Linked DNA regions of Callithrix jacchus. Each later gene encodes a partner of the first gene's protein in a complex. Links are inferred from orthologs where the notes say so. Each region holds a gene or a part of one and is shown on either strand. Other genes may lie near its edges.

Evidence for each region.
Region 2: the proteins of AAGAB (region 1) and AP1S3 are in contact, whole or in part, in a crystal structure (PDB 9DDT), measured with the Homo sapiens proteins. The link is inferred for Callithrix jacchus from reciprocal best matches to the Homo sapiens genes AAGAB and AP1S3. Residues at the interface, in NP_078942.3 of Homo sapiens: Asn51, Lys52, Tyr53, Tyr54, Glu108, Val109, Met110, Ile111, Gln128, Ile132, Gly135, Phe136, Glu137, Asp151, Phe153, Pro154, Glu155, Arg161, Gln164, Ala165, Asn167, Ala168, Asn169, Val170, Met176; in NP_001034658.1 of Homo sapiens: Arg10, Gln11, Lys13, Arg15, Gln37, Leu40, Ser41, Arg61, Tyr62, Ala63, Ser64, His85, Val88, Asp92, Phe95, Val98, Glu100, Leu101, Asp102, Ile104, Phe105, Asn106.

What each region holds. Positions count from the first base shown.
Region 1 is NC_133509.1:14,307,470-14,312,026, forward strand, and holds the start of AAGAB (alpha- and gamma-adaptin-binding protein p34), read right to left. Parts: upstream 3,052-4,557; 5' UTR 3,018-3,051; coding exon 2,945-3,017; exon of another isoform or gene 2,800-2,944; intron 1-2,799. Other genes in the region: IQCH (IQ domain-containing protein H), read left to right, coding at 3,285-3,335. UniProt on the Homo sapiens protein: May be involved in endocytic recycling of growth factor receptors such as EGFR.
Region 2 is NC_133507.1:145,503,738-145,507,547, reverse strand, and holds part of AP1S3 (AP-1 complex subunit sigma-3), read left to right. Parts: intron 1-1,946; coding exon 1,947-2,084; intron 2,085-3,810. UniProt on the Homo sapiens protein: Subunit of clathrin-associated adaptor protein complex 1 that plays a role in protein sorting in the late-Golgi/trans-Golgi network (TGN) and/or endosomes.

The DNA.
Region 1 (4,557 bases):
TTACAGTCAAAGATTGAATGCTCAGCGAATACTTCATTTTAATGCTATACACTGCTATCCTACTCATAATACTGGAAGAAATGATAAGCCCTCTTTCATGGCTCACTTTTCCTTATTCAAGTAATGTGCTAACTGTTCTTCCTTTATTTTTTACTACATGACAGTAATGAGTTGCAATGGAAAGGTCATCCAATTTTAACCCAAATTGGAATTATCTAAGAGCATTTTACATACAGAGATAAAATGGGTTTTTATACAGAATTCATTTTACCCTCAATAATGCTAATACACTTTACAGAAGGACAATGTCACTATTTGCTAATGACAGGTAAGTAGCTACTTGTAGTGACCATGTTTGCTGATTATGATCATTAAAGCACACAACAGAACACCAGAGCCAACAGAATAATTAATATTCCTGAGACTGGGCCTGACGCGGTGGCTCATGCCTGTAATCCCAGCACTTTGGGAAGCCAAGGCAGGTGATCACGAGGTCAAGAGTTCGAGACCAGCCTGGCCAATATGGTGAAATCCCCATCTCTACTAAAAATAGAAAAATTAGCCAGGTGTGGTGGCAGGCACGTGTAGTCCCAGCTACTCGGGAGGCTGAGGCACAAGAATAGCTTGAACCAGGGAGGTGGAGGTTGCAGTGAGCCAACACCCCACCATTGCACTCCAGCCTGGGCAACACAGCAAGACAATGTCTCAAAAAAACTTTTTTCTAAGATTATCCTGAAAAGACTCTCATGTATTGCTAATAGAAGTCCAGATGCAAATGCATGTAAGTCTTTTGGAAAGTTAGTTACATTTTTAAGAATCTTGAGCAAACCTGGTTTATGCACTAGATGGATACATGTGAGAAACTAATTTTTAATAAATCTCAGGATAAAAACTGTATATTTAAAAAATCAAAAACAGAACAAAAATAGTTGCGTATCAAATGTGATTACAATTTCTTTTTAAGAAACTGCATTGGAAACAAAGGCTGGAAAGAAATGTTAGCAGTTGGGTAAGGAGACTATGGCTGTTTTCTTTTCTCTGTACGCTGTTTTAAGCTGCACTCGTTTTACAATGAAACCCAGAAAGATGGATGAAGGAAGAAAAGGAGGGCGAGAAGGGGAAGGAACGCTGCTTAAAGGTAAGAAAATAGCCTATTTAGACCAGCTGATTACCACTTAGTTAAAAGCTATAATTAAGCTTTTACCCTAGCAAGGAACTAAGTGATCACAAATGATAACGAAGTCATATATTTGCAATGAAGGGATATCTTACCTAATTGTCATTTGACAGGTGTAGCAAAGGAATTATAATTGCACAATGCTTTACAGTTTACAAAGTGCATTCAAAATATCAGGTCATCTGTCCTTCAAATATTCCTGAAATTGGCTCACATGCCCCATTTTAAGGTTCAGGTAATTGAAGGTTACAGAGAGAGTAATATGCCTTAATAATAATGTCTGTCATTTATCAAATGTTTACTATGTGCCAGACCCTGGGTTAAGTACAATCTTAAGAAAATTAGTCCTATGTTATAGACAGAAAAAGTGAAGGGGCCAGGCGCGGTGCTCACGCCTGAAATCCCAGCACTTTGAGGGGGCCAAGGCAGGCAGATCACTTGAGCCGACAAGTTATAGATCAGTCTGGGCAACTAGGCCAAATCCCGAATGATGGGGAGTGATGGCACCCGCCCGTAGTCCCAACTATTTGGGAGGCTGAGGTGGAAGGATGCCTTGAGCCCAGGAGGCAGAGGTTGTAGTGAGCCGAGATAACGCCATTGCACTCCAGCCTGGGTAGCAGAGGAGACCCCGTATTAAAAAAAAAAAAAGAGGGAGAGAGAGAGTAAATAAAAAGAGAAAGTGGAGGGTAGCTAGGTAGGCACAGTGGCTCATGCCTGTAATCTCAGCACTTTGAAAGCCCAAGACGGGAGGTTCGCTTGAAACCAGGAGTTGGAGACCAGCCTGAGCAACATAGCGAGACCTTGGCTCTACAAAAAAAATTAGCCAAGCTTCGTGGTGTGAGCCTGTAGTCCCAGATACTTGGGAGGCTGAAGCAGGAGATCACTTGAGCCTTGGAGTTCGAGGCTGAAGTGAGCTATGACTGCATCACTGCACTCCAGTTTGGGCGACAGAGCAAGATCCCGTCTCTTAAAAAAAAGAGAAAAGAAAGAAAAAAGGAAAGAGAGAGGTTAGTTGACTCGCTCAAGATCATACAGCTAAGTCACTGCTCTGATTCTAAGCCTTACACTTTAAACAGAAGTCTTGAATTACATATAATTCAACTTCACAAAGCCCTAAAGGGCTCCACCACTAAAGTGGTAGAGTTGGCTTATGATCCAGTCCCATGTTCTCGCTTCAAAGAGTTACCAAGTCCGACAGCCATTATGAGGTTCTATAAGCAAAGGCCCTAGGCCCAATCATACTCAAAAACTCATGTTGGCAGAGAGCCCACGCCTCAGAAGAAAGGCGTGAATAACTAAAGTGGAGGGGACAAAGCCAACAAGTCTTATAATGTACACATTAAGATGGAGCCAAGAATTCAGAGGAAACGCTCTCTACTGGAGCAGCAAGGATAGCAATAAACATCACGATATCAACAATTCCAGCACCTTACACTCCTGTAACCTAGCGCAATTTCCAGAGAGCCTTCAGGTTCATCTCAACGGATCCTCGCAAAAACCTGTGGTCTGGGCTGGGCAGGGCAGAACGGGAAACAGTCTCACTTTACACAAGAAGCCGAAAGGAACGCGGAAAAGGGCCGGGTGGGGAGAAAAGCACGAATTTAAGAGCTAAGGGCAGCCACCTGGGGAGACTAGGCGCCTAGACCGAGTGGAGGAAGAGCACAGGGCCCGCGGCGGTGACAAGGCCCACAGAGGCCGTGGTGCTGGGGCCGTCGTCCGCCGAGGCTCAGGGGCCTTGAAGGTCGGCCCAGGCGCCTATCTACTCACGTTGGACCAGCCGGTCCCCAGAGAAGGTGGAGGAGCAGCTAGTGACCAACGCACAGGGTACGCCCGCAGCCATTGCTGCATTCGCGAGCCGGTTCCTTCAGGCAGCCGCTTCCGCCTTGGGCTGTACCACGGCCGCCGGCGCGAGGGGGAGACACGCCGGGGAGGGCGTTCTCGGAATGACTAGGCTGGCCTGACCCCGCCCCCAACCCCCCTTCCGCTCCCAGCGTGGAACAGGCCAGGCCGCGCGTGGTGTTGCCATGGGGATCAGAGCCCCGGGCTGAAGGTTTCCGCGCTTGGAGACCGCGCCTCCGCGGAGGTAGCAGTTCCCCCTGCCCTAGCCATGGCTCAGAACAGTGACAACCACGACCCTGTCGGATCCATTTTAATCCAGGTGTGAAACGGGCCTTCCCCGGCTCTGCCCAGCTGCGCCACTTACGAGCGAGGCCCGGCGCGTCGATTTGCCGGCGCCCACATTTGGGGCGCAGTCCCTAGACTGCCTCCAACACGCGAGAGCCTCCCAAAAATGCCCACCCTGACCTTCCCCCATGGCCCAGCACACTCCCAGGGACTTACCCTGCAGGTTACGCCCCAGGAACACTATATTCTGCCTCTGGGAAAACTCTAAAACCATTCACCTGGAACTTTTACTTCAGAAAAATTCACCTCATGCTGAGGCACCTTTTTTATTTTTGGAGACGGAGTTTCGCTCTTGTTGCCCAGGCTGGAGTGATTTCGGCTCACTGCAACCTCCGCCTCCCAGGTTCAAGCGATTCTCCTGCCTCAGCCTCCTGAGTAGCTGGGACTACAGGCGCGTGGCACCACACCCAGCTAATTTTTGTATTTTTTAGTAGAGACAGGGTTTCACCATATTGGCCAGCTGGTCTCGAACTCCCGACCTCGTGATGCGCCCTCGTTGGCCTCCCAAAGTACTGGGATTACAGGTGTGAGCCACTGCACCCAACCGAAAGAGATTTTTCATTTGAGAGGGAAAATGTCAGTCTTGACTTAACGAATATTACTCAACAGTTGCACGCAGGTGTTTCTGAAATGGTTATAGAATTTTGTTTTCACATTTACGTCTGGTAGCTTTAAGATATTTCCACATATATCATCAGTTTTAACTATCACATATATAATAGTTGCATTTGACTAAGTTGTTGAGAAACGTTAAGTTAGGAATATTAATGTTGAGAAATATTACGTTTATTAATACTGATGAATGCTGAGTGTGTGACAGAATACGTTGTTTGCTAGGAAGAATGATAGTAAGGAAAACTTAGCCACCCCCACCCCCAAGTAGAAAACTACTTGGGGCATTCCAAAGTGGCAGGACAATATATAAATGTCATACACCTGTGGAAACAATTCTTTAAGTTATCTGACCCTGCCCCCATGGCTCCCTTGTGGAGAATACTTTTTAGAATATGTTTTTTGTTTGTGATCAATAGTAAGCGGCTACCAGCTGACTACTTGGCGTGTTTTGTGTTATGAGAAAATACCGAACACCTGTTGTTAATAATGATCACCTGTTCGGAGAGAATAAAATGCATGGGTCAGCGTTTACCCGGGGCCTTCTGCCTGGTGTTGTCAGGTCCTGAGGCTCTCAGTTTGGA
Region 2 (3,810 bases), on another chromosome or scaffold:
AATGATGTGATCTTGGCTCACTGCAACCTCTGCCTCCTGGGTTCAAGCAATTCTCCTGTCTCAGCCTCCTAAGTAGCTGGGATTACAGGGATCTACCGCTACGCCCAGCTAATTTTTTGTAGTTTTAGTAGAGGTGAGGTTTCACCATGTTGGCCAGGCTGGTCTCGAACTCCTGACCTCAGGTGGTCCACTTGCCTCGGCCCTCCAAAGTGCTGGCATTACAGTCGTGAGCCACACACCTGACCAAGTTCAGCATTTTAGCAAAGCATTAGTGGTCAATGGCTTTGAGCAGGAACAGCCACCACCTGGAAGGTCATTGCAGTGACCTGACTGAGAGGTGTTGCAAGCCGAAGTAGCAGCTGTGAAAGCAGAGCAGAGAGGGAGGGTAGGGATTTATTTAGACAACAGAATCAGTAGGAACTGATGACCACATCCCGGGGGTGAGATCAAGGCGGGGAGAGCAATAAGCGGGGGAGGGAAGGTAAGTTGGTTGAACTCTAGAATGAATTAGATGGAAAATTAGAAAGAGGTTACAACTACTAAGCAAAATAGGGTCTAAGGGAAAAAGAATGGTCTTGATATCAGTTTGGGACTTGGTGACATGGATTGAGGAATAGGCATGTGAAGGTGTCTAGTCAGTGGGTGAAAATATTGGACTAGTGGCCCAGAGGGATATCAGGGCCAGTCGTCTAGGTTTGTTGAGCTACCTGCATGCTAGACACAGCATTAGAGAGTCAGTGAGTTTGTCCAGGAGAATATGCATTTTGCAAAGAGAAAAGCCTTTCTTGAGGAACATGAATATTCAAAGAGAAGATGGATGGCTAGAATATAAACAACATGCAGCAGAGATGTTTGCCTGTTCTGTTGACTGATATGTACTAGGCACAGGAAAATAGTTCTTAAACAAATGCAGGGTAGGAGGGAGAGAAATGACCCAAGGAGTCTGAGAAGGAATGATCAGAGACAGAGGAGAAAAAGAGGCGTTACGCCGTATTGCCAAAATCAGGAGAGCAAGGGAGATTTTCAAGGATCAGAGATTGGTGAAGAGTACCACATGCTACTGAGAGGTAAACGTTGGGGAGGTCTGGAGACTTTCAATGAGCAGAGTTTCAAGAGAACAGCTTCAGTTGGGTGGGTGGGGTATGGTGTAGAAAGAGAGGGTGGCAGTGAGTACAGGAATAAGTAGGGAAGACAGCAAGGAGAGGGTGCGAGTTTTGGAAATGAGCATTATTTGGATGTTGGGAGAGATCTTGCCATTCTTGCTACACTTTAAATAAACACCAGAATCTATCAGACTCTGCTTTAGTCTGTGCCAGGGGTTCTTGATGTGAAGTCCCCCAGGCCAGAGGCCTCAGCATCACCTGGGAGCCTGTTAAAAGTGCAGATTCTCAATTCTTATCTAGACCTCCTGAGTCATAAATTCTGGGGGTGGGGGCCCAGCACCTGTGTGTTTTAATGAGCCTTTGGAATGAGTTTGGGAACCACTGGCTGTGACATAATTTTGAGAAAAATTAGCACAGTTGAGCTCATTTTCCTCTGAAGAGTGAGTTTCTGAGAGAGTTTTAAAGCTAGAAGCCAAGATGTACAGAGCGGAGAGCAGGAGAAAGGAAGCTCTGCCCTCCTGCCTGGGATGCAGCTGGGCTCAGTTTTCTTGGTGCAGATAGAAAGAAAAGCCGAGTAGCCTCATTCCCTTACCGAGTCTCAAATTTCCTGTTGCAACACAAAACACTATTATCTAAGTACATGCTTTGCTTTAATAGAATGCGGCCTTCCTTTTATTAAAGGCCTGGCATTCCCCATTCTTTTTTTCTGTCCTTAAAATGCCGTCTGATATTTTTATTTTTGGTATGCCACATGAGTGCAAACTGAAAAAGCTCGAGATTCGGGCAGATATTTCCCGTGATACAACTGCAAGTTTATCAAAACATTTATTTTTGTCCTACCAGGTCTGCGAGCTGGATATTATCTTTAATTTTGAAAAGGCTTATTTCATCCTGGACGAGTTTATAATAGGTGGAGAAATTCAGGAAACATCCAAGAAAATCGCTGTCAAAGCCATTGAAGACTCTGATATGTTACAAGAGGTCAGTACAGTTTCCCAAACCACGGGAGAAAGATGATGATGATGTTAGTGTTAATAATTATGGTATTAACCAGGCTTACTGGTTACTTTGTGCTGGGTACAGTTTCGAAACTATGTATATATATTAGCTTATTTAATTCTCACAGCAATTCAAAAAGGTGGGTGGTATTGTTACCCCCACTTTACAGATGAGTAAACTGAGACACCAAGAGGTTAAATGACCTGCTCAATTTCACACTGCTGGGAAGTGTGGTATAGAGATTGAACCCAGGTAACTGGGCTTAAGAGTTTTTGCTCTTCACCTTTGGCTGAGCTTTGGAGTGCGAGGATACCTCACTGCCAAAAAGGTATCAAATACTTAGTTCTATTCTTTCCAATAATAATTTTATGAGATATATAAAAAGACTTTCATTAAAATACCTGTGCTGCCCTGGGAAAGGAGAATAGCAGTACATTGTGACTTTGTTTGCCAGGGATATTAAAGCTTTATTATTGAGCACGGTATTTATCATTGTAATTAAAATTTCTTACACCTTCTGAGAAGGCTGTACGTGTGCTCCTGTTTGCATAAATGAATTGGGAACACCGTGGCTTGCCTGCCAACGTATAAATGGGCCCTGAAGCATCCGTTTGGTATTGCTCTGGACTCTGGGATTTCCATATAAATTAAGTGGGAATGATCTTTTAGAAGCAGCACAGATTTGCATCATACCTCATCAGGGAATTTACCTATTAGCCCCTCCATTCTTCCCAAGACGCTGTGAGAAAGAGCACTTCACCCCACTGACCTCTGCCCTCACAGATGAGATGCTCTGAGGGCCTGGGTTTCATCCCAGCTCCTCCACCTCTAGATCCTCTTCCCACGGTCTCAGTGGGTCTTCCCACCTTCCTATTTTCAAATCAGTAGGTCAAGAGGATCCAGAGCTTATAAAGTACTTTTTTTTTTTTTTTTAAGTGGCATTTGGCCAGACACGGTGACTCACTCCTATAATCCCAGCACTTTTGGAGGCTGAGGCAGGCGGCTCACTTGAGGCCAGGAGTTAGAGACCTGGCCAACATGGTGAAGCCTTGTCTCTATTGAAAAAAAAAAAAATTAGCCAGGCATGGTGGCGGACACCTGTAATCCCAGCTACTTGGGAGGCTGAGGCAGGAAAACCACTTGAACCCAGGAGGCACGGGTTGCAGTGAGCTGAGATCGCACCACTGCACCACCTGGGTGACAGAGCGAGACTCGAGACTCCATTTCAGAAATAAAGAAAAATAAAAAACATAATAAATAAATAAAACTGGCATTAAAACTGTTTTTTCTGCTATGTGGAAGAGGGTGATTAGGTTAACAAAACACCATTACCTGTGAATTCCCAGCAGCTGTTTTAGTGCATCTTTGGGCTGATTACTTGCTTCCACCCAGCCAGAGAATCAGTCCTCTGGTGAATGGATGTGAAGGAAGACATCTATTTGAGTGGGTGCCACAAACAGCTGCGTGTGCCTATTAGCAGTCCAATGGATTCATTACCAGAGGAGTCTCACCTCAAAAAATGCATTTAAACTCTCCAATGTTGATTTGGCTGTCTCCAAATGCCACAGGGAGAAAACTTTACAAAGTATTTGAGAAATCAGTGGTTTGGAAATTTCACAAAACTGTTTTATAAAATCTACTGGGGGTTGGGGTAGGCAGAGAGGGAGGAGGTTTTTTTAAATTCTATCCTCAGGGTCCTGACTGTGCA